Macaca mulatta: one gene and its partners. The protein of the gene in region 1 interacts with the protein of each later gene in a biochemical or structural test. Links are inferred from orthologs where the notes say so. Each region holds a gene or a part of one and is shown in the gene's direction. Other genes may lie near its edges.

Region 1 (3,965 bases):
ATGGTAGAGGATGAGGAACCTGATCAGATATTGAGCGTGGAGGGTTCTAACTGGATTTTCCAAGGAAATACACAGATAAACCTACGAGAAAGTTGAGGAGTCTGACTAAAGTTTGGCCAAGCAAAGAATCCTTGTCACCTTCCATCGTTGTATTCAAACACTTAAGACTCAAGCTGCTCACTACTATCTTTAGGCTCTAAAGAGAAAAGAAAAACAAAAACGATCAAGGGACATGGCATTATACTTTTACATTAGTAAATCCAAAGTCATTTTCTCAATCTCAGCAGTCAAGAATAAAATGATCCGCATTAGTATAGTGGCTAGATTTTATAAAATAAGAAAAAAATATTTTTAAAGAATAAAATGAAAAGAAGCAACAACTAATCAGTTTACCACTAGTTATCACTGAGCTAAGGTTTTGCAGGCCCATTTTACCCCCTCTCCCTTTGCTCTCTGCCATTTGAACCTCAGGTTCAGTGCTAGAATCTCCCCAGTACGAGGCAGATGCAGAGAAAGAGAACGGTGATGTCCACTGAAGGGGAGGAGGAGGGGAGACCATTGACGATCTTGGCAAAGACATTAGCTGTGTAGTAAGTCATCCTTTCTTCCCTTGCCATCTTGTGGCTGTGTTAGGCAGTGATTCTATTCCTGCTGTGTTGGAGGGAAACCACCCAGTCCGTAGTCAGAAGACCTGGATGCAGTATTAATTCTACCACTTACTAGCCGTGTGCCCTTGAACCCATCATTTAACTTCCTCCGTTTTTACATCTGCAAAATGGAACTACCACTATTTGCCTCAAGGAATTGTTTTGGATAATACGTTTTTCCGTGCATACCTGGTATAAGGCAGGTATAAAGTACATCTATTGAGGACATCCTTTCTTTCCGTGGCTTTTTTAACAGTAAAGGAGTATTCCTGGCCTGTGGTCCTACCTCTTGAACGGACGGCGCTGGGCCTACTCTCCGCGGCGAGTAGGCCTGCCCAGCAAAGCCCTAATCCAAGGGATCCGGCCCAAGCTTTCCCTGAATCCCTACCGCCCATGGACCGCTCACCTCCACTTTTGACATTTCCGCTTTCCTGCCGCAGCTGCGGATGGCGTCACTTCCACCGGAAAAGGCGAGCGCAGCCGCGCGGTTGGCGCGAAAGTCGGTTTCCGTTCTGGTCAATTTCCGGGTTCTCCAGCGTTTGCTTTGGGGTAGGGGCGGCGCCGAGTCGGGGGAGGGGGCTGTGCGCCGGGCTGGCGCCCGACCCCAGCCACCGCCCTGCGGGCAGCGCGTCCCCCGACTCGCCGCCCGGAGACCCCGAGGCCCCAACGAGGTAAGTAAGGCGCGGAGTGGGGACTCAGCTCCTCCCCGGCCCCAACTGGGGTTCGCGATGCGTTCTATGGCCTTCAGGACCCTCTTTTCCTGTCCTAGTAACTGGCCCTGGGACTGGCGGGTGGGCCTTTGACACCTAAAGGACGTGGCTTCCGTGATCCCAGAGCCAGGCCTTTTTCTGGAGCTGGGAACTGGAGCATCTGGCCTTATGCAGGGGCAAAGACCATGCTAACTGGCTTCCATGTTTATATTTAAAATCTGTTTACTGAGGGGTGAACGAACCTCGCAGGCCGTGAGTATCCGCAGGGACAGATGCACTCTGTGTATCCATAAAACAAGTGCAATTGAATGTCCATTGGCTTAGAGGGCTTAGAGCCTTCATAGCAGGGCCCTCCTCAGTGTATTCAATTCGGGTTAATTTTGCTCTCTGATTTGCAAGGATTGGTGTTGTCATGTTTTTCTTTGGCTTTGCCAAAGAAAACGGAGGAAGTTAAATGATGGGTTCAAGGGCACATTCCAGGGTTTCTTACAAATGCCTTTGACGAATTCACCGGCAAAGCCAGAATGTATGTCTTTAGGCATTCTTGTCTGCATGGAAAAATAGGTGGGTTAAACATGGAACTTTATACCTAATGTGGTTTTGTTCTTGTTAATGGTTCCTTTATTTTGACAGTTCAGAAATGTCCAGAAATGACAAAGAACCGTTTTTTGTGAAGTTTTTAAAGTCTTCAGACAATTCCAAATGTTTTTTTAAAGCTCTCGAGGTAAGAGTTGAAAACGTCTTAATACCGTGAATTCATTTTCTTGTTTTTAAGTGTTTTTGATTTGTTGGGCTTTATGTCTTAGAAGTAGATATTTCACTTTCATAATAATTTAATAGTCTACGTTAATACAGATATATCATTATTACATATTTTCGAATTGATCTAAGTACATTATTATGTATTTCGGGGGGCTGGAAGTCTATTATCACGTTGCTGTTTAATGTGACTGACCTGCAGTTTTTGGAAATTAAGTTGCTTTCATTTGCCTCCTAACCAGAGTGGTCCTTTGTGTGCTGTAAAAATTTGAGTCAGTCGTATACTGGTCATACTTGAAAATTTTTTGGTTAATTGTTAAAAATTATGTTTTATTATGTACAGTGTGATAATTGGATGATAGTAGAGGTGATGTAGAGCCTTGCTTCTCACAGATCTCAGCAGTATCAGCATGGCCTGGAAGTTTGTTCAAAATGCAGAATCTTGGCCTCCAATCCAGACTCACCACTTAGAATCTGCATCTTTAACAAGATCGTCAGTGTGCATTAAAGTTTGAGAAGCATTTGTAGCAGATTTTTAAAAATTTCATTCATTCAGCAAGTATTTATTGAAGTGTTCATGATTTGATAGGCACTTCTCTAGTACTTGGGATTTATCAGTGATCAGAACAGGCAAAGATTTCTGTTCTCTCAGAGCTTACATTCTAACAGGAGGACATAGACACTAATCAGACATGATAAATTGGGAAGAGAGAAAAGCAAAACAGGTTAAGGGGTTCCAGAGGATGTTTCTTGGGGGTGGGAAGAAAAGGGGGTTATAATTTTAAATAGCGTGCGATCAGGGTAGGCTTTATGGAGAAAAAGATATTTGAGTAAACGTGAAGGAGGTGAGATGCTTTGCAGATATTTGGAGAAGAATGTTTCAGGCAGAGAGAGCAACCTTATACAGCCCCTGGGAAAGTGTCTGTAGTCTCTATCCAAGTTTAGTGTTCTGTTGTGTAGTAAGTGAGGGATGGGGGAAGAGTGCTAAGGAATGTGTCAGAGAATAATGGTAAAGAGGTCATGTAGGGCCTTGTGGGCCATTTTTCTCTCAGTGGAGAGCCATTGGAGGGTTTCAATCAGAAGAGTAAACATGATCTGACTTACAGTTTTAAAGGGATTACTGTATTTAACATAAGGACCTCAAAACTGGTTCAGAACATTTTTGAGTGCTTACTGGGTGTCAGGATATAGTAGCAAACAAGATACATAACGAAACTTCCAGGGGAGAGAGACAAAAACTATATATATATGTATTTTTAAATAAAATAGACTAAAAGGGTAGAGGAAGGGTATTTGAGAAAGCATGGTTAGGATAGGCATCTCTGGGGAGGTGACATTTAAGCAGACCTGATTGAAGTGGGGGATTAAGTCAGGTGAAAACTTGGAAAAAGAGTATTCCCTGCTGCAAGATCAAGAGCAGAGCATCTAAATGAGGTTATGATTGGCTTGTTCCAGGGCTGGCAAGAAAGTGGGAGTGGCTGGAATAGAGTAAGCAAGGGAGATGAGAAGTAGGAGGTAAAGGTGGGAAGATAGGCAGGAACCAGACTGTGTTGTCTTGAAGGCTATAGTAAGAAATGTGGATTTTATTCTGGGTGCGGTGTGAAGACATTAGGTTTTGAGCAGACAGTGACATGATTTGACTTGTATTTTTAAAAAGATTATTAGCTGCTGTGTAGAGAACAGATTTAGGGCAAGGAAGGGAAAAAGACCATTTGGGAGCCTTCTGCAGAGGTCTAAGTGAGACATGATGGTGACTCTCAATAGGGAAAAGGCTGGATTTGAGATGGAATTTGAATAGGACCTAAATACAGGGGAGTCATTTCAGGTACGTTCTTATTTTATTTTTTCT
Region 2 (3,029 bases), on another chromosome or scaffold:
TATCCTTGGATTGGCCGTAGGGTGTGGAAGGCAGGCTTAGCAGGCAGGGGCTCCACCCAAGTGGGACTAGAGAGGCTTGGATTCAGGAGAGGGCTCTGGTTGTTTTGGTTGCAAGTCCTGGCTCAGCATTTTCTCACTGTTGTGACGCTGGATAAATTGCTTAACCTCTCTGGGCCTCAGTGTTATTTATAAAAGTGAAATAATAATATCCAATTCTGAAATTGTACAGATTAAAAAAGAAAAGTGGCTAGGTGCAGTGGCTCATGCCTGTAATCCTAGTGCTTCAGAAGGCTGAGGTGGGAGGATCACTTGAGCCCAGGAGTTTGAGGCTGCAGTGAGCTCTGGTTGAGCTACATCACTCCAGCCTCGGTGACATAGCGAGACCCTGCCTCTAAAAAAATGAATTCCCAGCACCAGGCCTGGAGTTGTGTTGAACATTTTACATGGAATCGTTCCCGGTAGCTATTATCATTACCTTGGGATTCAATGGGTAGAGTGATTCCATTATATAGATGTGGAACTTGAAACTCAGGAATGAGGTAGGTTTTGAACGGGTAGGAGGTTGGGAGGATAGGAGTGACTAGGCAGGTGTGAGCCCTGCCTTGTAAGCTGTTGGAGTGAGTGACCCCCTAGAAGTCAAAGGTCATGTGGTCCTTGACTCTGCCAACCCTGGCCTATGTGACGTGTCAGGACCTTCGTAGCATTGCAGACCCTGCAGAGCAGATGGTTATGGTGATCAAAGCCCCTCCCGAGACCCAGCTCCAAGCCGTGGACTCTTCGGAGGTGAGATCTGGGAACTCCAGGCCCAACTGGGCTGGGCTGGGCTGTGCTGGTAGTCACCTGGGCCTCAGTTTACCCTGCCTGCTGTTTCCACCCAGACCTTTCAGATCTCCCTTAAGAGCAAACAAGGCCCCATCGATGTTTTCCTGTGCCCTGAGGAGACCGTGGGTGGGATCAGCCCTGGGAAGACCCCGTCCCAGGAGGCCACTTCTGAGGAGGAGAACAGGGCCACTGACTCTGCCACCATAGTGTCACCACCACCATCATCTCCCCCCTCATCCCTCACCACAGATCCCAGCCAGTCTCTACTCAGCCTGGAGCAAGGTGGGTGATGGGTAGGTGGGTGGGGTGGGGCAGGGCCCCTCTTCTGGGGGTGGGCAGGCACGACAGCCCCTGCCTTCCTTCCTGCTGGGGCATCCCCGGCCTGTGATGCTCCCCGTCTCTCCAGAACCGCTGTTGTCCCGGATGGGCAGCCTGCGGGCTCCCGTGGACGAGGACCGCCTGTCCCCGCTGGTGGCGGCCGACTCGCTCCTGGAGCATGTGCGGGAGGACTTCTCCGGCCTCCTCCCTGAGGAGTTCATCAGCCTTTCCCCACCCCACGAGGCCCTCGACTACCACTTCGGCCTCGAGGAGGGCGAGGGCATCAGAGACCTCTTCGACTGTGACTTTGGGGACCTCACCCCCCTGGATTTCTGACAGGGCTTGGAGGGACCAGGGTTTCCAGAGATGCTCACCTTGTCTCTGCAGCCCTGGAGCCCCCTGTCCCTGGCCGTCCTCCCAGCCTGATTGGAAACATTTAATTTATACCCCTCTCTCCTATCTCCAGAAGCTTCTAGCTCTGGGGTCTGGCTACCGCTAGGAGGCTGAGCAAGCCAGGAAGGGAAGGAGTCTGTGTTTGTGGTGTGTATGTGCATGCAGCCTACACCCACACGTGTGTACCCGGGGTGAATGTGTGTGAGCATGTGTGTGTGCATGTACCGGGGAATGAAGGTGAACATACACCTGTGTGTGCACTGCAGACACGCCCCAGTGTGTCCACATGTGTGTGCATGAGTCCATGTGTGCGCGTGGGGGGGCTCTAACTGCACTTTCGGCCCTTTTGCTCTGGGGGTCCCACAAGGCCCAGGGCAGTGCCTGCTCCCAGAATCTGGTGCTCTGACCAGGCCAGGTGGGGAGGCTTTGGCTGGCTGGGCTTGTAGGACGGTGAGAGCACTTCTGTCTTAAAGGTTTTTTTCTGATTGAAGCTTTAATGGAGCGTTATTTATTTATCGAGGCCTCTTTGGCAAGCCTGGGGAATCAGCAAAGGGGAGGAGGGGTGTGGGGTTGATACCCCAACTCCCTCTACCCTTGAGCAAGGACAGGGGTCCCTGAGCTGTTCTGCCCCACACCGAAGGAGCTGAGGCCTAGGTGATTTATTTATTGGGAAAGTGAGGGAGGGAGACAGACTGACTGACAGCCATGGGTGGACGGATGGTGGGGTGGGGCCTCTCCAGGGGGCCAGTTCAGGGCTCCAGCTGCCCCCCAGGATGGATATGAGATGGGAGAGGTGAGTGGGGGACCTTCACTGATGTGGTGGGCAGGAGGGGTGGTGAAGGCCTCCCCCAGCCCAGACCCTGTGGTCCCTCCTGCGGTGTCTGAAGCGCCTGCCTCCCCACTGCTCTGCCCCACCCTCCAATCTGCACTTTGATTTGCTTCCTAACAGCTCTGTTCCCTCCTGCTTTGGTTTTAATAAATATTTTGATGACGTTTGGGTCGGGTTTTGGGACTCTGTTGGGAACAGTTCGGGGCGGGAGAGGCCAAGGTTGCTGGGGAAATGCCCATTCTCCGCTTCCCTTCTCTCCGTCCCTGCTCGATTTGATTTGAGTCTCAGAACTCGAAGAAAGGTCAGCTTCATCGCTATTTTGGTCCTAACTCAAAAGCCGATCCAGTAAAGGTTTTTGTGGAAAGCCAAGAATGCTACTCAGTGCTGCCCGAAGTGCAGCGTAATGAGTGGCCTCTCCTTTTCCCAGCCCCAGAGGCCACTGTGCTCAGTTTGCTGTCTTCCAGACGTTTCTGGACATTAGTAAACATGCAACAAATGACAGTGGACTGGTTCTGTGTCAGGTATTTAGCAGTTCTGGGGACACGAGTGTTACCTCCCTTCTTGGTGCTCTCAGGGTCTGAAGGAGATCTACTTAAATGAGAAAATCAGGAAGTGCTTGAGTTCAGCGCTGTAGAATAGGTAGGAGTTAACCAGAGGAAGAAAACAA
Region 3 (3,090 bases), on another chromosome or scaffold:
TTCCTCCCCCCTGTGCTTGGAGTTGGCTTTGCATTATTTACTGAGGGCCTTCTTTGTTCCAGGCATTCTGCTAGGTGCTGGGAATCAAGAACAAGACCGCTGGTCTCTACCCTCATGAAGTTTAAAGATAAGTTATATCTAGGCCAGTCATTGTGGCTCACGCCTGTAATCCCAGCACTTTGGGAGGCTGAGGCGGGTGGATCACTTGAGGTCAGGAGTTTGAGACCAGTCTGACCAACATGGCAAAAACCTGACTCTACTAAAAATACAAAAATTGGCTGGGTGCCGTGGCTCATGCCTGTAATCCCAGCACTTTGGGAGGCCAAGGCAGGTGGATAACTTGAGGTCAGGAGTTCAAGGTCAACCTGCTCAAAATGGTAAAATTCCGTCTCTACAAAATATACAAAAAGTAGCTGGGCATGGTGGTGCGTGCCTGTAATCCCAGCTACACGGGAAGCTGAGGCAGTAGAATTGCTTGCATCAGGGAGGCAGAAGTTGCAGTGAGCAGAGCAGAGTGCCATTACACTCCAGCCTGGGTGACAAGAGCGAAACTCTGTCTCAAAAAAAAAAAAAAAAAATATATATATATATATACACACACACACACACACACACACATAGCTGGGCGTGGTGGCAGGCGCCTGTAGTCCTGGCTACTCAGGAAGCTGAAGCAGGAGAATCGCTGGAACCTGGGAGGCAGAAGTTGCAGTGAGCTGAGATTATGCCACTGCACTCCAGTCTAGATGTCGGATTGAGACTCCATCCCAGGGGGAAAAACGTTATATCCCTGTGGTGTGATGAACGGAAAGAGACATCATCCCCTTTCCTACACACGAGGAAGCTGAAGGCCAGAGAGATGGAATAATTTGCCGAAAGCATCCTGTTACTATCCCATTAGACAGCTATTTTAGTTTTGTGTTCATTACTACATTAGACCCCGATTTAAGAGTCTGGTCATCAGATATAGTTTCCTCTCTTAGGTTAGTACTTAGTTAGGCTCACCTCACTTTTTTTTTTTTTTTTTAAAGGTATCACCTGATTTTGATACAACAGCAGGAAGCTTGTTCCCAGCCTACCGGAAACACCACCACCAAAACCGGGCGAGACATTCAAGTCGAAAATCTACCACCTCCAAGTTTCCACATCTAACTTTTGAGAGTCCGCAGTCTTCCAATTCAGAGACATTGGGGATCCCCTTAATCCGGGAGTGCCCCAGTGAATCAGAAAAGGATGTTTCCAGAAGACCCTTAGTTCCAGTGCTCAGTCCCCAAAGCTGTGGGGACATGTCAGCACAGGCACTTCCGAGCTTACCTTATGTGTTCATTCCACCTGATATCCAGACCCCAGAGTCATCGTCTGTGAAGGAAGAACTCATTCCCCGGGATCAGAAGGAAAATAGCCTTCCAAGCTGCTCTCTTCACACTGGCACTCCTGATAGCCCAGAGCCTGGACCTGTTCTGGTTGAAGACACCCCCGAAGACAAGTATGGAATAAAGGTCACGTGGAGGAGACGACAGCACCTGCTTGCTTACCTCAGGGAGAGAGGGAAGCTGAGCAGAAGCCAATTCCTTGTGAAAAGCTGACTGCCATCAGCAATCTCAATAGAAAAGAGACATGTTTTTTGGAGTCATAAAGGAATTCAATTCCCAGGGGTTTTTTTTGTTTGTTTGTTTTATTTTGTTTTGTATTTTGAGATGTAATATCGCTCTGTTGCCCAGGCTGGAGTGCAGTGGTATGATCGCATCTCACTGCAACCTCCACTTCCTGGGTTCAAGCAATGCTCCTGCCTCAGCCTCCCCAGTAGCTGGGATTACAGGCACCTGCCACCATGCCTGGCTAATTTTTTTGTATTTTTAGTAGAGATGAGGTTTCTCCATGTTGGCCAGGCTGGTTTCAAAATCCTGACCTCAATTCATCTGCTGACCTGGACCTTCCAAAGTGCTGGGATTACAGGCGTGAGCCACCGCGCCCAGCCGAGATTTGTTTTCTAAGATACTTTGTGTCATGAACAGTTGAGTTTAGTGTCATGAACTATTCACTTTATATTTTTCTTGTATTAACTGTTTAAATTTTTAAAATATCTTGTAGTAACTCTTTAAAATGTATGTAAGTAAATGGCTACAGAAAGTTTTTTTAGAGAATCCTGCTTCTGTCAGTAATACAGCAATATTACCCCATCCACTAAAGGTCTTTGTCTCCTTAACCACTACTTGTTAATCCTTTAATCACCTCATTCAAACCAATTCATTCTGCATTTTTGAGTACCAGCTCTTGTCAGGCTCAATGGCAGCTTCTATGAGCTGATGGATGGAAAAAAATCAAACTGTGACTCTGTGGTTGACTGCCACCTCTGCAACCTTGACTCATCTGCTGAAAAGGCAAGAAGAAGAAAGGGCAGCAAGCCCTGTTTTAGGGACTATATGAGATCAGGGAAGATAAAGGGGACGTAGATGAGTTCTTTAGGATTGCCTATGTTTTGAGTTTTTGTTTCTAACTGAAGAAATCTATCAATATTAAATAGGGTGAGAAAATGATTTCTTAGAGTAACTGTTCAACTGTGTATAAATAAATAAGGAAAGTTTTCAATGAATATTACTTATTGTAATTAATGCAGAAGGACTTCCCTAGTCAACCGAATGTCTCAGATGGCCTTTTACTCAGATAAGTACATCTCATTAAACCCCATTCATCCAGCATTCATTCAGCTGGACCTACTGTGTCAGGTCCAGCCCCAACTAGATCAAGCAGGGATTACTCTGCATATTTTACAGATGGGAATTTGACGCAGAGAATGAACCATACACAGGGTCACACAGTGAGTGCAGGCTGACCCAGGCAGTGTAACGGTCCACTCAGCGTGTGCCTCCTAAAGTTCTAACTTGTAGGTTCAAAACCAATGTGGGAAACAACTTTGACCTTAGAATGCCATAAAGCCATTTGTGCAGAGACTCGTCAGGACTTAGGATGTTCTGTAGGGATGATGTGCATGTCGGTAGGGAGAAAGGGACTGACATTTGGGGACGGGATTTATTGGAGACAGAGTACACTTTTAGACAGGGGCTTCCACTGTGGGCTATGGATGTTTGAGGA
Region 4 (4,116 bases), on another chromosome or scaffold:
CAAAAAAAAAAAAAAAAAGCCGGGCGTGGTGGGTGTGCCTGTGGTCCCAGATACTCAGGAGACTGAGGTGGGAGGATACCTTGAGCCCAGGAGTTCCAGGCGACAGTGAGCCGTGTTCGCGCCACTGCACTCCAGCCTGGGTGACAGAGCAAGAATATGTCTCGGGGAAAAAAAAAAAAAAAAAAAAAGGCACATAACCACGATCTACCCTCGTAAAACATTTCTAGAGCGTCCCAGCGGTGCCCCTCATCATCTGGCGGCCCCTAAGCCTCTCTGAGACTCACAGACCTACTCCCCTCTCCAGGGGGCGGAGCCCACACCGCTGAGCATTTACTCTTGTTCCTCCCTCTGCCAGGAGCACCGTTCTACCCCTTTCTGCCTGGAGAAGCTGCCGTTTTTCCTTCAAGGATCCTCGAAGCCAGAAGGAGCAGCCACCTCCCACTCCCAGCTGCTGCAAGCAAGCTGCTTTGACCTCTTTCTAGAGTTGGGGATTGCTGCTGGAGTTCGAGTCTCCGGCCCAGAGTGGGTGCGATGGTCTTGCTTGCACCGTGTATCCTCCGACAGACGCCCGGGAACTCTACTCAGTGGGTGACCCCAGAGAGCTCGCACCCACATTCGGACTCCGAGTCTAGCGCTCGGTCCACTGCACAGGAACCTCGCGCCCCAGAGCTGCGTCCTCTCTGCCCTTCGCGATCCGATGCGCGGCCCGCGGGACGCCCCGATCTCCAAGGGCGCTGAAGGCCGAGGCGTGCCTGGAGAGCCAGGAGCAGCTGACGGGCGCCGCGGGCCTCCCGGGTCACGTGACACCCGGGGCAACGTGCGCCGTCACGTGACGGCGGAGCCTGTGAACGTTTTTCTCACGTGACGGAGGCGCCTGCGTGTGGACCAATGGGGAGGCGGGGGAGGGGCTGGCAGGGGCGGTGCGCGGGAAGGACCCCGGGCTCTGAGGTCGCGGAGTGTGGGGTAGTGCTGGCCGCTGGCTGGGCGCTGGGGCAGCATGAAGTGCCTGGTCACGGGCGGCAACGTGAAGGGTGAGTGCGGGTCGGCCTGGCAGCGGCGGTGCAGGAGCCGCGGAGCCGCCAGCCTAACCCCCTTCCGCTCTCCTCCCCGCAGTGCTCGGCAAGGCCGTCCACTCCCTGTCCCGCATCGGGGACGAGCTCTACCTGGAACCCTTGGAGGACGGGGTGAGGGGCTGGGGTGTGGGGGGGCGGGTGGGACTCCAGCCGGGAGCGGGTAACCCGGACTCGAGTCTCGCCCCCACTAGGCGGGATGACCGCTGGCAGATTTGTCGGCAGAGTTTCAGTTTCTCAGCCTAGCGCCTGTCATCTTCCCAGGCCGGTGTGTGAATTGCAAGCTGGCCTCCTGTGAGCTCCCAGGGGGTAACGTGCCCTTAGAGAAACTCGGGGTAGGCCTGGGTGTGCGACCGCTCCTCTGCGGCAGCAGCCCCGAGGCCGACTCTGAAGGCTTCATGTGGAAGGAGGGTTTCAGCAGGTGGTGGCAGAGCGGGAGGACGATAGAGCAAGTGTGTGAGCAGAAGCAGCCGGAGGGCTGGGTCTGTGGCTGCCCCCTGACCACGTCCCTCTCCCTGCTCTTCGTGGCCCAGCTCTCCCTCCGGACGGTGAACTCCTCCCGCTCTGCCTATGCCTGCTTTCTCTTTGCTCCGCTCTTCTTCCAGCAATACCAGGCAGCAACCCCTGGTCAGGACCTGCTGCGCTGTAAGATCCTGATGAAGGTGAGGCCCTTCCCTCAGCAGTGGCACTGCCCCATCCCAGGAATCTCCACTAGCTGTGCCTCTGCCCTGGGGTACTCAGTAGATGCTAAGTGGGGAGAGAGACACGTGCAAGTCCAATCCATGCAAAACACAGGGAGGGCCTTGGTAAAAGCATCACAGCGGGGACCTGAGAGGGTGGTGAGGCTCAAGTTCGTCAAGAAAGGTAAGCAGGTCTTTTGGCCGGGTGCGGTGGCTCACACCTGTAATCCCAGCACTTTGGGAGGCTGAGGTGGGCAGATCATGAGGTCAGGAGTTCAAGACTACCCTGGCCAACATGGTGAAACCCCGTCTCTACTAAAAATACAAAAATTAGCCGGGTGTGGTGGTGGGGGCCTATAATCCCAGTTACTTGGGAGGCTGAGGCAGGAGAATTGCTTGAACCCGGGAGGCGGAGGTTGCAGTGAGCCAAGATCGCACCACTGCACTCCAGCCTGGGTGACAGAGCGAGACTCCATCTCAAATAAAAAAAAAAGAGAAAGGTAAGCAGGTCTTTCAAGGCATTGCAAGCATAAGGAAGAGCATGAATGAGGCCTAGAAGGATGCCAGTGTCCCGTGTGATGTGGGAGCCCTTTTCCCAGAGTTACAGGCTGGGCCCATGATTGGTGTGGGCCTACACGGGACAGGAGAGCTTGTTGCAGAGATGCGGTGCTAGGCTGAGGTGTCTTATCCCATTTAGTCCTTCCTGTCTGTCTTCCGCTCACTGGCGATGCTGGAGAAGACGGTGGAAAAATGCTGCATCTCCCTGAACGGCCGGAGCAGCCGCCTGGTGGTCCAGCTGCACTGCAAGTTCGGTGAGTGGGCAGCCGGACAGCCAAGGGGTGCCTCAGCAGGGAGGTCGGCGAGGCCCACTGAGACCCTATCGCCCATCCAGGGGTGCGGAAGACTCACAACCTGTCCTTCCAGGACTGTGAGTCCCTGCAGGCCGTCTTCGACCCAGCCTCGTGCCCCCACATGCTCCGCGCCCCAGCACGGTGAGCACACCCCTGCCCTCAGCTCAGCTCCAGGTCTCTCTCTTCCTTCTTTGGGGCCTCAAGGGTTGATTTAAGAAGGTATGTCCTTCATTTCCCTACAGAGTTTCTGTGAACCTCAAAGACATCCCATGGCCCGCTATGTGCTCAGGTCCTTACCTGGCTCTTTAAAGGCAGACGGTGGCATGGAGGAGGGGCAGGCGCCTCCTTGCTCCATTCTCCTCACTGTTAGGAGCCTTCGTTCTCCATCCCAAAGGTCTGACTTGACTTTCTGGCTGCTCAGACCCATTCCAATTCCTCCTCTAGGAAGCAGATTTCTGGCCTGCCACCAAATCTCTTGTCTGGCTTGAGTAACCTTGAAGGTCTTCCCTTAACCTGTGGCTCAGAGGCTCACACCCCTTCTCCGGCCTGGGCATCCTTCCAGAGGTGCTCCCCACTCAAGGGCAGCCTCTTTTCCTGACTGCCCAGGATCAAGGAGTCCCCAAGGCCAGGGCAGGAGGCTGGAGGGAAGGTTGTGGTTCAGGAGGGCTGCCTGAGTAATCAGCTGTGGGTGGAGCCATTCTGGGCAGTCCGAGCACTGGGGGCTGTCTGGGGCCAGGGAAACAGGGACTCCAGTGGAAGCAAAGGTCCCTGGCAAGGACCAGTTCAGAGAGGAGTGGGCTCTCCCCCTGTCCCTGTCCCACGCTGGACACTGCTTGTATTCAAGTGGCCCAAGGTCCTGCTTATTTCTCAGGGTGACTGAATGTCCCTTTGGGTCCTGACATCTGTTTCCCTAGGTTCTCTTGAGCCAGCACTGCTCAGAGCTCTTTTGGGTAGAGAGGGGGGCCAATTCCTTGGGCTGCATTTAGGGTTTTTTGGTTGGTTTTTTTTTGAGATGGAGTTTTGCTCTTGTTGCCCAGGCAGTGGCACGATCTAGGCTCACCACAACCTCCGCCTCCCGATTCAAGTGATTCTCCTGCCTCAGCCTACCAAGTAGCTGGGATTGTAGGCATGCGCCACCATGCCTGGCTAATTTTTTGTATTTTTAGTAGAGACAGGGTTTCTCTTTGTTGGTCAGGCTGGTCTTGAATTCCCAACCTCAGGTGATCTGCCCGCCTCAGCCTCCCAAAGTGCTGAGATTATGGGCGTGAGCCACCGCGCCCTTTTGTGTGTGTGTGTGTGAGATGGAGTCTCGCTCTGTCGCCCAGGCTGGAGTGCAGTGGCGGGATCTCGGCTCACTGCAAGCTCCGCCTCCCGGGTTCACGCCATTCTCCTGCCTCAGCCTCCCGAGTAGCTGGGAGTACAGGCGCCTGCCATCACGCCTGGCTAATTTTTTGTATTTTTAGTAGATGGGGTTTCACCATGTTAGCCAGGATGGTCTTGATCTCCTGACCTCGT
Region 5 (3,500 bases), about 75 Mb from region 1:
CAAGGTGCTGGGATTACAGGCGTGAGCCACTGAGCCCGGCCTTGTTTTGTTTTTATACAGAGGCGGGGTCTCACTATGTTGCTCAAGCTAATCTTGAACTCCTGGGCTCAAGCAATCCTCCCACTTCGGCCTCCTAAAGTGCTGAGTTACAGACATGAGCCGCCGTGCCTGGCCTCAACTTGTTAATGATCTGTCCTGCCCTCTGCCTTACAGAGATGTCTGGCACTGTCAGTATCAGCCTTGAAATTTGCTGTGGTTTTTTGTTGTTGTGGTTGTTGTTTTGAGATGGAGTCTCACTCTGTTAGGCGGGGGTGCAATGGTGTGATCTCGGCTCACTGCAGTCTCCACCTTCCAAATTCAAGTGATTCTCCTGCCTCAGCCTCCCGAGTAGCTGGGATTACAGGCATGCACCACCACACCTGGCTACTTTTTGTATTTTTAGAGATGGGGTTTCATCATGGCCAGGCTGGTCTCGAACTCCTGGACTCAAATGATCTGCCAGCCTGGGCCTCTCAAACTACTGGGATTACAAGCATGAGCCACTGTGCCTGGCCCAGCCTTGAGATTTGAACAGTGTCAGGGCATCTTCTGGTTTTGAACATTCTGCTGCCTTTGCTCATAATGGGCAGTGTGTGAAACTGAACTCTCCATGCCTTGCATTGTCCACATAAGAGAGCAGAGGGGATCCTCTTCACACATCAGTAACAGAAAGACCTCAGCATTATATGATCAGATCAGAGGGTTAACACTGCTTCTCTAACATAAAGACATTAGCACTGAGAAGTTGCTCAGTTTTCAACATACTTAATAGGTTTATCAAAATTTTGATACTTATTTTGATAACTCTTTTTCTATTTAAAGTCTTTGCATTCTATTGGAAGTTTTTTTTTTGAAACAGAGTCTCGCTCTGTTGCCCAAGTTGGAGTGCAGTGGCATGATCTCAGCTCACTGCAACCTCCACTTCCCAGGTTCAAGTGATTCTCCTGTCTCAGCCTCCCAAGTAGCTGGGATTACAGGCACACACCACCACGCCAGGCTAGTTTTTTTGTTTTTTTTGTTTTTTTTTTTTTTGAGACAGAGTCTCGCTCTGTCGCCCAGGCTGGAGTGCAGTGGTGCAATCTCGGCTCACTGCAAGCTCCGCCTCCCGGGTTCACGCCATTCTCCTGCCTCAGCCTCCTGAGTAGCTGGGACTACAGGCGCCCGCCACCGCGCCCGGCTAATTTTTTGTATTTTTAGTAGAAACGGGGTTTCACCGTGGTCTCGATCTCCTGACCTTGTGATCCGCCCGCCTCGGCCTCCCAAAGTGCTGGGATTACAGGCGTGAGCCACCGCGCCGGGCATTTTTTGTATTTTTTTTTAAGTAGAGACGGGATATCACCATGTGACATCAGGTGATCCATCCGCCTCAGCCTCCCAAATTACTGGGATTACAGGTGTGAGCCACCACACCCAGCCTGGAAGTCTTGTGACTATTAAAAAATCGTTTGTTCCACATTGGCTGGGCGCAGTGGCTCACACCTGTAATCCCAACACTTTGGGAGGCTGAGGCGGGCAGATCACTTGAGGTCAGGAGTTCGAGACCAACCTGGCCAACATGGTGAAACCCTGTCTCTACTGAAAATATAAAAATTAGCTGGGCATGGTGGCATGCGCCTGTAATCCCAGCTACCTGGGAGGCTGAGGCAGGAGAATCACTTGAACCTGGAGGCAGAAGTTGCAGTGAGCCAAGATCACACCACTGTACTCCAGCCTGGGCAACAGAACGAGACTCCGTCCCAGAAAAAAAAAAAAAACAGTTTGTTCCACATTGAAAAGATGTTTTGCACCAGGCATGGTAGCTACACAGGCAATCCCAGCTACACAGGAGGCTAAGGCAGGAAGATTGCTTAAGGCTAGGAGTTCGAGACCAGCCTGGGCAACATAGCAAAACCCCACTGCTACTAAAAAAACAATAAAATAAAATTACCGGCCCTGGTGGCTCACGCCTGTAATCCCAGCATTTTAGGAAGCTGAGGTGGGCTGATCATTTGAGCCCATGAGTTCAAGACTAGCCTAGGCAACATGGTGAAACCCAATCTCTAGAAATAACTCTATCTCTAGAAAGAATAAAAAGTTAGCCAGATGTGGTGGTTGCATACCTGTAGTCCCTGTGCTACTCAGAAGGATGAGGTGGGAGGATCACTGAGCCCAAGAGGTCGAGGCCACAGTGAGCCATAATTGTGCCACTGGGCTCCAGCATGGGCAACAGAGTGAGACACTGTCTCACCAAAAAAAAAAAAAAAAAATTATCTGGTCATGTTGGTGTGTGCCTGTAATCCCAGCTACTCAGGAGGCTGGGATTACAGGTGGATGGATCGCTTGAGCCTAGGAGGTCAAGGCTGCAGTGAGCTATGATCATGCTACTGTACTCCAGCCTGGGCAACGGAGCAAGACTCTGTCGCAAAAAAAAAAAAAAGTTTTGGTGGAATTGGAAATAGTGATAATAAAGAATAGTAAAAGAATTTTGGCTAATATTATATTTTTGGATGATTAGAAAAATAGAAAAATGAATAAAAAACTTTTTCAACGATTTGGATCAAAATGCCTGGAATTGGCCAGTAACGGTGGATCATGCCCGTAATCCCAGCACTTTGGGAGAACAAAGTGGGTGGATCACTCAAGCTCAGGAGTTCCAGACCAGCGTGGGTAACTTAGCGAAACCCCATCTCTATAGAGAAATTAAAATTTAAAAATATTTTTAAAAAAGAAAACCAAATGCCTGGAATTTTGCACTGCTCCCCTGACAAAGAATGGTAGACATAATAGATAAAACCTTTGGTTAAAACACCTAGACATGAAAAGTTTAAAGTTTGTTAGAAATTTTGTAACCAGGTATTTTGAATTGTTTTAGTAGAATCATTACTTTGCTTTCATAGTTAACTTTTTCCAGTCCTAGGAAAAACCCTTCTGTGGTTATAAAGCCAGAAGCATGTTCTCCACAATTTGGAAAAACATCTTTTCCTACAAAGGAGTCTTTTAGTGCTAACATGTCCCTTCCCCACCCCTGCCAGACAGAGTCAGGATACAAGCCGCTGGTGGGCAGAGAGGGTAAGTCCATAAGTCATCTATTGCTTTTTAACAAACTACCCAAATTTGTGGCTTAAAACAATTGTTATTTATTTTCTCCCAATTTCTGTGATCAGCAATTCTGACAGGGCACAGTGGGGACAATCTCTGCAGGGACTGGAATCACTGAAAGCTTGTCTTAAGCTGGAGGATCTATTTCAAGATGGCTCACTCACATGACTGGCAGTGTAATTCCTTGCCGCATGGGCCTCTGCACATGGATACGGGGTATCCTTATAACCTGGTGGGTGGCTTCCTCTAAAGCCAGCAAATCCAGAGAGAGAGAGAGCCAGGCAGAAGCTGTCCTTTTGTGGCCTAGCCTCAGAAGTCACACAGCGTCACCTGTGCCACATTCTGTTTGTTAGAAGCAAATCACTGAGTCTGGGCTTCACTCA
Region 6 (3,500 bases), on another chromosome or scaffold:
CTGCAGGGGAAACAGTGTGTTCAGGGCAGGAGAAGATGGAATTGAGGATATAGGGGATTTTGCTGATGAGGGTCAGTGAGTTCCAGAGGGCAGGGTGGGAGGATTTTATGTGTGGAAGGGCTGGGCCGAGGTGACAGGATGGAAGACGGAAGGAGCAGTGAGGAGATTCCAGTGGGCAGACTGGAGCGACCTAGGGGTCTAGGGCTTCGCATGATGGGAAAAAGCAGCTATCAAGGGGATCATGAGATTAATTCCTGGTGGTTTCAATGCAGCTAATGGTGCTGAACCTGTGAGTTTGGGGGGTAAGAAGTGTGGGTGTTTGGCCCACCCACACTCCTGCCCATGTAGGCGTGGAGACTACAAGGAGGGCATCTAACTCCGAGGGCCTAGGGCTCCCTCCAAAGTCCTGCCTGGGAGGCCAGTGGAGGGTGGCCTTGTTTTTAGCGTTGGGCTCCTGTTTGGCATTTGCTGGAAGAGGTGCAGGTAACTCTGTGAGGGGCACTCTCTCTCCATGCAGAGGGAGGCTTGAGACTTGGAGGCCTGAGGCAGGTATTTCTGGCCTTTCTCCCCTAATCCAGCATACAATGACTTGAGAAGAAACTATCATGTCATATTTATTCTCATAGACCTTTACTGCCCTTGTCTGAATTTTGTAATATAACAGCAGATGCAATTATAGGCATTTATGCTGTCATGTGATGTGAAGTTTCTTTTGCTTGTTTAAAAAATTCTACACAATCTTACACTAAAAATAATAGCTTTGGGAGAACTACAGTTGGGACAGACTTCTCAAAATCTTTGGCAGTGATAAAAACTAAGGCAATCCTGGGTGGGGGGACACGTGCCTGTAATCCCAGCTCCTCGGGAGGCTGAAGCAGAAAGATTGCTTGAGCCCAGGAGTCCAAGACCAGCCGGGCAACATGGCAAGACCTTGTCTCAATTAAAAACAACAAAAAAAGTGCAATCCTAATAAAAATTATAGTTTGATTAAAAGACACATTAAATTCATAATAAGTAAACTCCATAATAAATATACCTTATCCCTTAAAAGAAAGGTGAAGATGGCATGATGAAAGGGTTGAGGCTGTGGTATTATGGAGACAGGGGCCAATGACAACGATAGGGAACTACATCATAAGCACTTCCAGGAAAGTGCATGTGGCCAAACAGCCAAGGAGAAGAACACGAGTTGAAAGGGCGTAGTTGGCTGGGCATGGTGGCTCATGCCTGTAATCCCAGCACTTTGGGAGGCTAAGGCTGGCGGATCACGAGGTCAGGAGATCGAGACCATCCTGGCTAACATGGTGAAAGCCCATCTCTACTAAAAATACAAAAAATTAGCCGGGCGTGGTGGCGGGCGCCTGTAGTCCCTGCTACTCTGGAGGCTGAGGCAGGAGAATGGCGTGAAGCCAGGAGGCGGAGCTTGCAGTGAGCCGAGATTGCTCACTGCACTCCAGCCTGGGCAACAGTGAGACTCCATCTCAAAAAAAAAAAAAAAAAAAGAAAGGGTGTAGTGTACAGCACTGTGCTCCTCTGGCTGTTTGTATTTAGTTGTGTTTGTGCACTTTGAATTCAGCTGCTGCTACTTGGTGGCATAAAATAATAGCACATTAGGAATGATCACATAACCAAAGCAACATAATATTTTGTACTAATGTCACTACCTTACTTATCAATTGTGTGTAGGCTATTTGTAGAAAGTTTTGTATTGTAGAACAGACTGTATCTTAACTATGTATATAGTCTTGGAAGCAGCTCAGAAAACTGTATTTTGGAATTTGGTAAAGGAAGAACTGCAGTATTTTACAAGTTCTCTGCTGTAGCATGGCCCACAGTTTCTTCCAGGTTATAAATCAGTGTGCCAGCTTGTTGTCCAGTCTCCCCACCATGCTCCATCTGGGTGAGATCCTATTCCTGCATTAGAACCTAGCCCAAATACTGCATTCTCCATGAGACCTTCCTTGCCCATCTAGACAGAGTTAGCATATGCTAACATTTATACATATCTCCATGACTTCACAAGAGTGGACCTACTCTTCCTATCCTGGGAGCTCCTTTTGAAGTAGGCATTGTATTTATCTCTGAATTCTCTCACTGAAAGAAGGCCTAAAACTTGGTTGTCTCAATAAGTTTGAATACATTTTAAATATTTGGGTTTTTTTCCCCAAGACTTCATTAATGTCTAACATTTCATTTGTCTAGGGTCTTAGATGGACCTCTCAGAATCACAGAGTTCACTGAAATTTCTGTTACTGTTCCCCCAACCACCTCCTCCATCAGGCTTATTTTAAGAGAACCTTCTACCCTTACACTCCCCAACGCAGAGCCACATCTTCCTATTTCCAATTTACCTACTCAGTGCAACAGAATTGTGATATTCTGCAGTTTTGTTACTGTATATTTATTATTGTACAAAGCCTTTTTTTTTTTTTTTTTTTGAGACAGAGTCTCGCTCTTTGCCCAGGCTGGAGTGCAGTGGCGTGATCTTGGCTCACCGCAACCTCCGCCTCCCGGGTTCAAGCTTCTCCTGCCTCAGCCTCCTGAATAGCTGGGAATACAGGCACCTGCCACCACACCCAGCTAATTTTTGCACTTTTAGTAGAGACGGGGCTTTGCCATGTTGGCCAGGCTGGTCTCAAACGCCTGACCTCAGGTGATCCACCCACCTCGGCCTCCCAAAGTGCCGGGATTACAGGCGTGAGCCACTGTGCGCAACCGTACAAAGCCATTTTTAAGAACAGGACTAAGCGCGGTGGCTCAGGCCTATAATTCCAGCACTTTGGGAGGCCAAGGCAGGCGGATCACCTGAGGTCAGGAGTTTGAGACCAACCTGACCAACATGGAGAAACCCTGTCTTTACTAAAAATACAAAATTAGCTGGGTGTGGTGGCACATGTCTGTAATCCCAGCTACTCAGGAGGCTAAGGCAGGAGAATTGCCTGAACCCGGGAGGCGGAGGTTGCGGCTCATGAGCCGAGATCATGCCACTGCACTCCAGCCTGGGCAAGAAGAGTGAAACTCTGTTTCAAAAAAATAAATAAATAAATAGAAGAACAATATATATTTTTAAGCTGGTTAGAGGAACATTTCAGAAATAAGATGAGAGGATTTATAGCCAGTAATAACAAAAGATTTTAAATTGTATCTGTATGTTTTTCAGTAGCATTTTTTATTTACCACATAGGCCTGTAGCAGTCTGTGGTGCCAGAGAACAAATGTTAGCCGGAGAACAAATGCACTTTGTATGTCCTTTGGAGGGATGCAGTCAGTCCAGGGGAAGAGCAAGTGCTTAGAATTCTCTGCTTTGGTTCTTATGCGGTTTCCTCTCCTGCCTCTGTTCCTTTGCTCCAATAGCTTCTCCTGTTCCAGAGTGGGCCCAGCAGGAACTTGGCCACACCACTCCCTGGAGTCCAGCTGTTGTGGAAAAGTGGTTTCCTTTCTGTAACATCCGTGGTGCTAGTTCCAATTTGATGGAGTCATTTGGGTAAAACTTTTTTATA

The links.
Region 2: the proteins of TOPBP1 (region 1) and E2F1 form a complex in vitro, tested with the Homo sapiens proteins (4 studies listed by BioGRID and IntAct). The link is inferred for Macaca mulatta from reciprocal best matches to the Homo sapiens genes TOPBP1 and E2F1.
Region 3: the proteins of TOPBP1 (region 1) and RHNO1 form a complex in vitro, tested with the Homo sapiens proteins (2 studies listed by BioGRID). The link is inferred for Macaca mulatta from reciprocal best matches to the Homo sapiens genes TOPBP1 and RHNO1.
Region 4: the proteins of TOPBP1 (region 1) and RAD9A form a complex in vitro, tested with the Homo sapiens proteins (4 studies listed by BioGRID). The link is inferred for Macaca mulatta from reciprocal best matches to the Homo sapiens genes TOPBP1 and RAD9A.
Region 5: the proteins of TOPBP1 (region 1) and ATRIP form a complex in vitro, tested with the Homo sapiens proteins (2 studies listed by BioGRID). The link is inferred for Macaca mulatta from reciprocal best matches to the Homo sapiens genes TOPBP1 and ATRIP.
Region 6: the proteins of TOPBP1 (region 1) and TICRR form a complex in vitro, tested with the Homo sapiens proteins (2 studies listed by BioGRID). The link is inferred for Macaca mulatta from reciprocal best matches to the Homo sapiens genes TOPBP1 and TICRR.

The regions. Positions count from the first base shown.
Region 1 is NC_133407.1:36,717,606-36,721,570, reverse strand, and holds the start of TOPBP1 (DNA topoisomerase 2-binding protein 1), read left to right. Parts: upstream 1-1,165; 5' UTR 1,166-1,318; intron 1,319-1,990; 5' UTR 1,991-1,997; coding exon 1,998-2,081; exon of another isoform or gene 2,082-2,165; intron 2,166-3,941; exon of another isoform or gene 3,942-3,965. UniProt on the Homo sapiens protein: Scaffold protein that acts as a key protein-protein adapter in DNA replication and DNA repair. Composed of multiple BRCT domains, which specifically recognize and bind phosphorylated proteins, bringing proteins together into functional combinations.
Region 2 is NC_133415.1:86,447,443-86,450,471, reverse strand, and holds the end of E2F1 (transcription factor E2F1), read left to right. Parts: intron 1-668; coding exon 669-783; intron 784-878; coding exon 879-1,104; intron 1,105-1,228; coding exon 1,229-1,476; 3' UTR 1,477-2,529; downstream 2,530-3,029. UniProt on the Homo sapiens protein: Transcription activator that binds DNA cooperatively with DP proteins through the E2 recognition site, 5'-TTTC[CG]CGC-3' found in the promoter region of a number of genes whose products are involved in cell cycle regulation or in DNA replication.
Region 3 is NC_133416.1:3,787,411-3,790,500, forward strand, and holds the end of RHNO1 (RAD9, HUS1, RAD1-interacting nuclear orphan protein 1), read left to right. Parts: intron 1-1,028; coding exon 1,029-1,583; 3' UTR 1,584-2,590; downstream 2,591-3,090. UniProt on the Homo sapiens protein: Involved in microhomology-mediated end-joining (MMEJ) DNA repair by promoting recruitment of polymerase theta (POLQ) to DNA damage sites during mitosis.
Region 4 is NC_133419.1:6,990,357-6,994,472, reverse strand, and holds the start of RAD9A (cell cycle checkpoint control protein RAD9A), read left to right. Parts: upstream 1-1,316; 5' UTR 1,317-1,468; coding exon 1,469-1,732; intron 1,733-2,447; coding exon 2,448-2,562; intron 2,563-2,642; coding exon 2,643-2,742; intron 2,743-4,116. UniProt on the Homo sapiens protein: Component of the 9-1-1 cell-cycle checkpoint response complex that plays a major role in DNA repair. The 9-1-1 complex is recruited to DNA lesion upon damage by the RAD17-replication factor C (RFC) clamp loader complex.
Region 5 is NC_133407.1:111,863,788-111,867,287, forward strand, and holds part of ATRIP (ATR-interacting protein), read left to right. Parts: intron 1-2,929; coding exon 2,930-3,087; intron 3,088-3,500. UniProt on the Homo sapiens protein: Required for checkpoint signaling after DNA damage. Required for ATR expression, possibly by stabilizing the protein.
Region 6 is NC_133412.1:79,402,440-79,405,939, forward strand, and holds part of TICRR (treslin), read left to right. Parts: intron 1-3,354; coding exon 3,355-3,484; intron 3,485-3,500.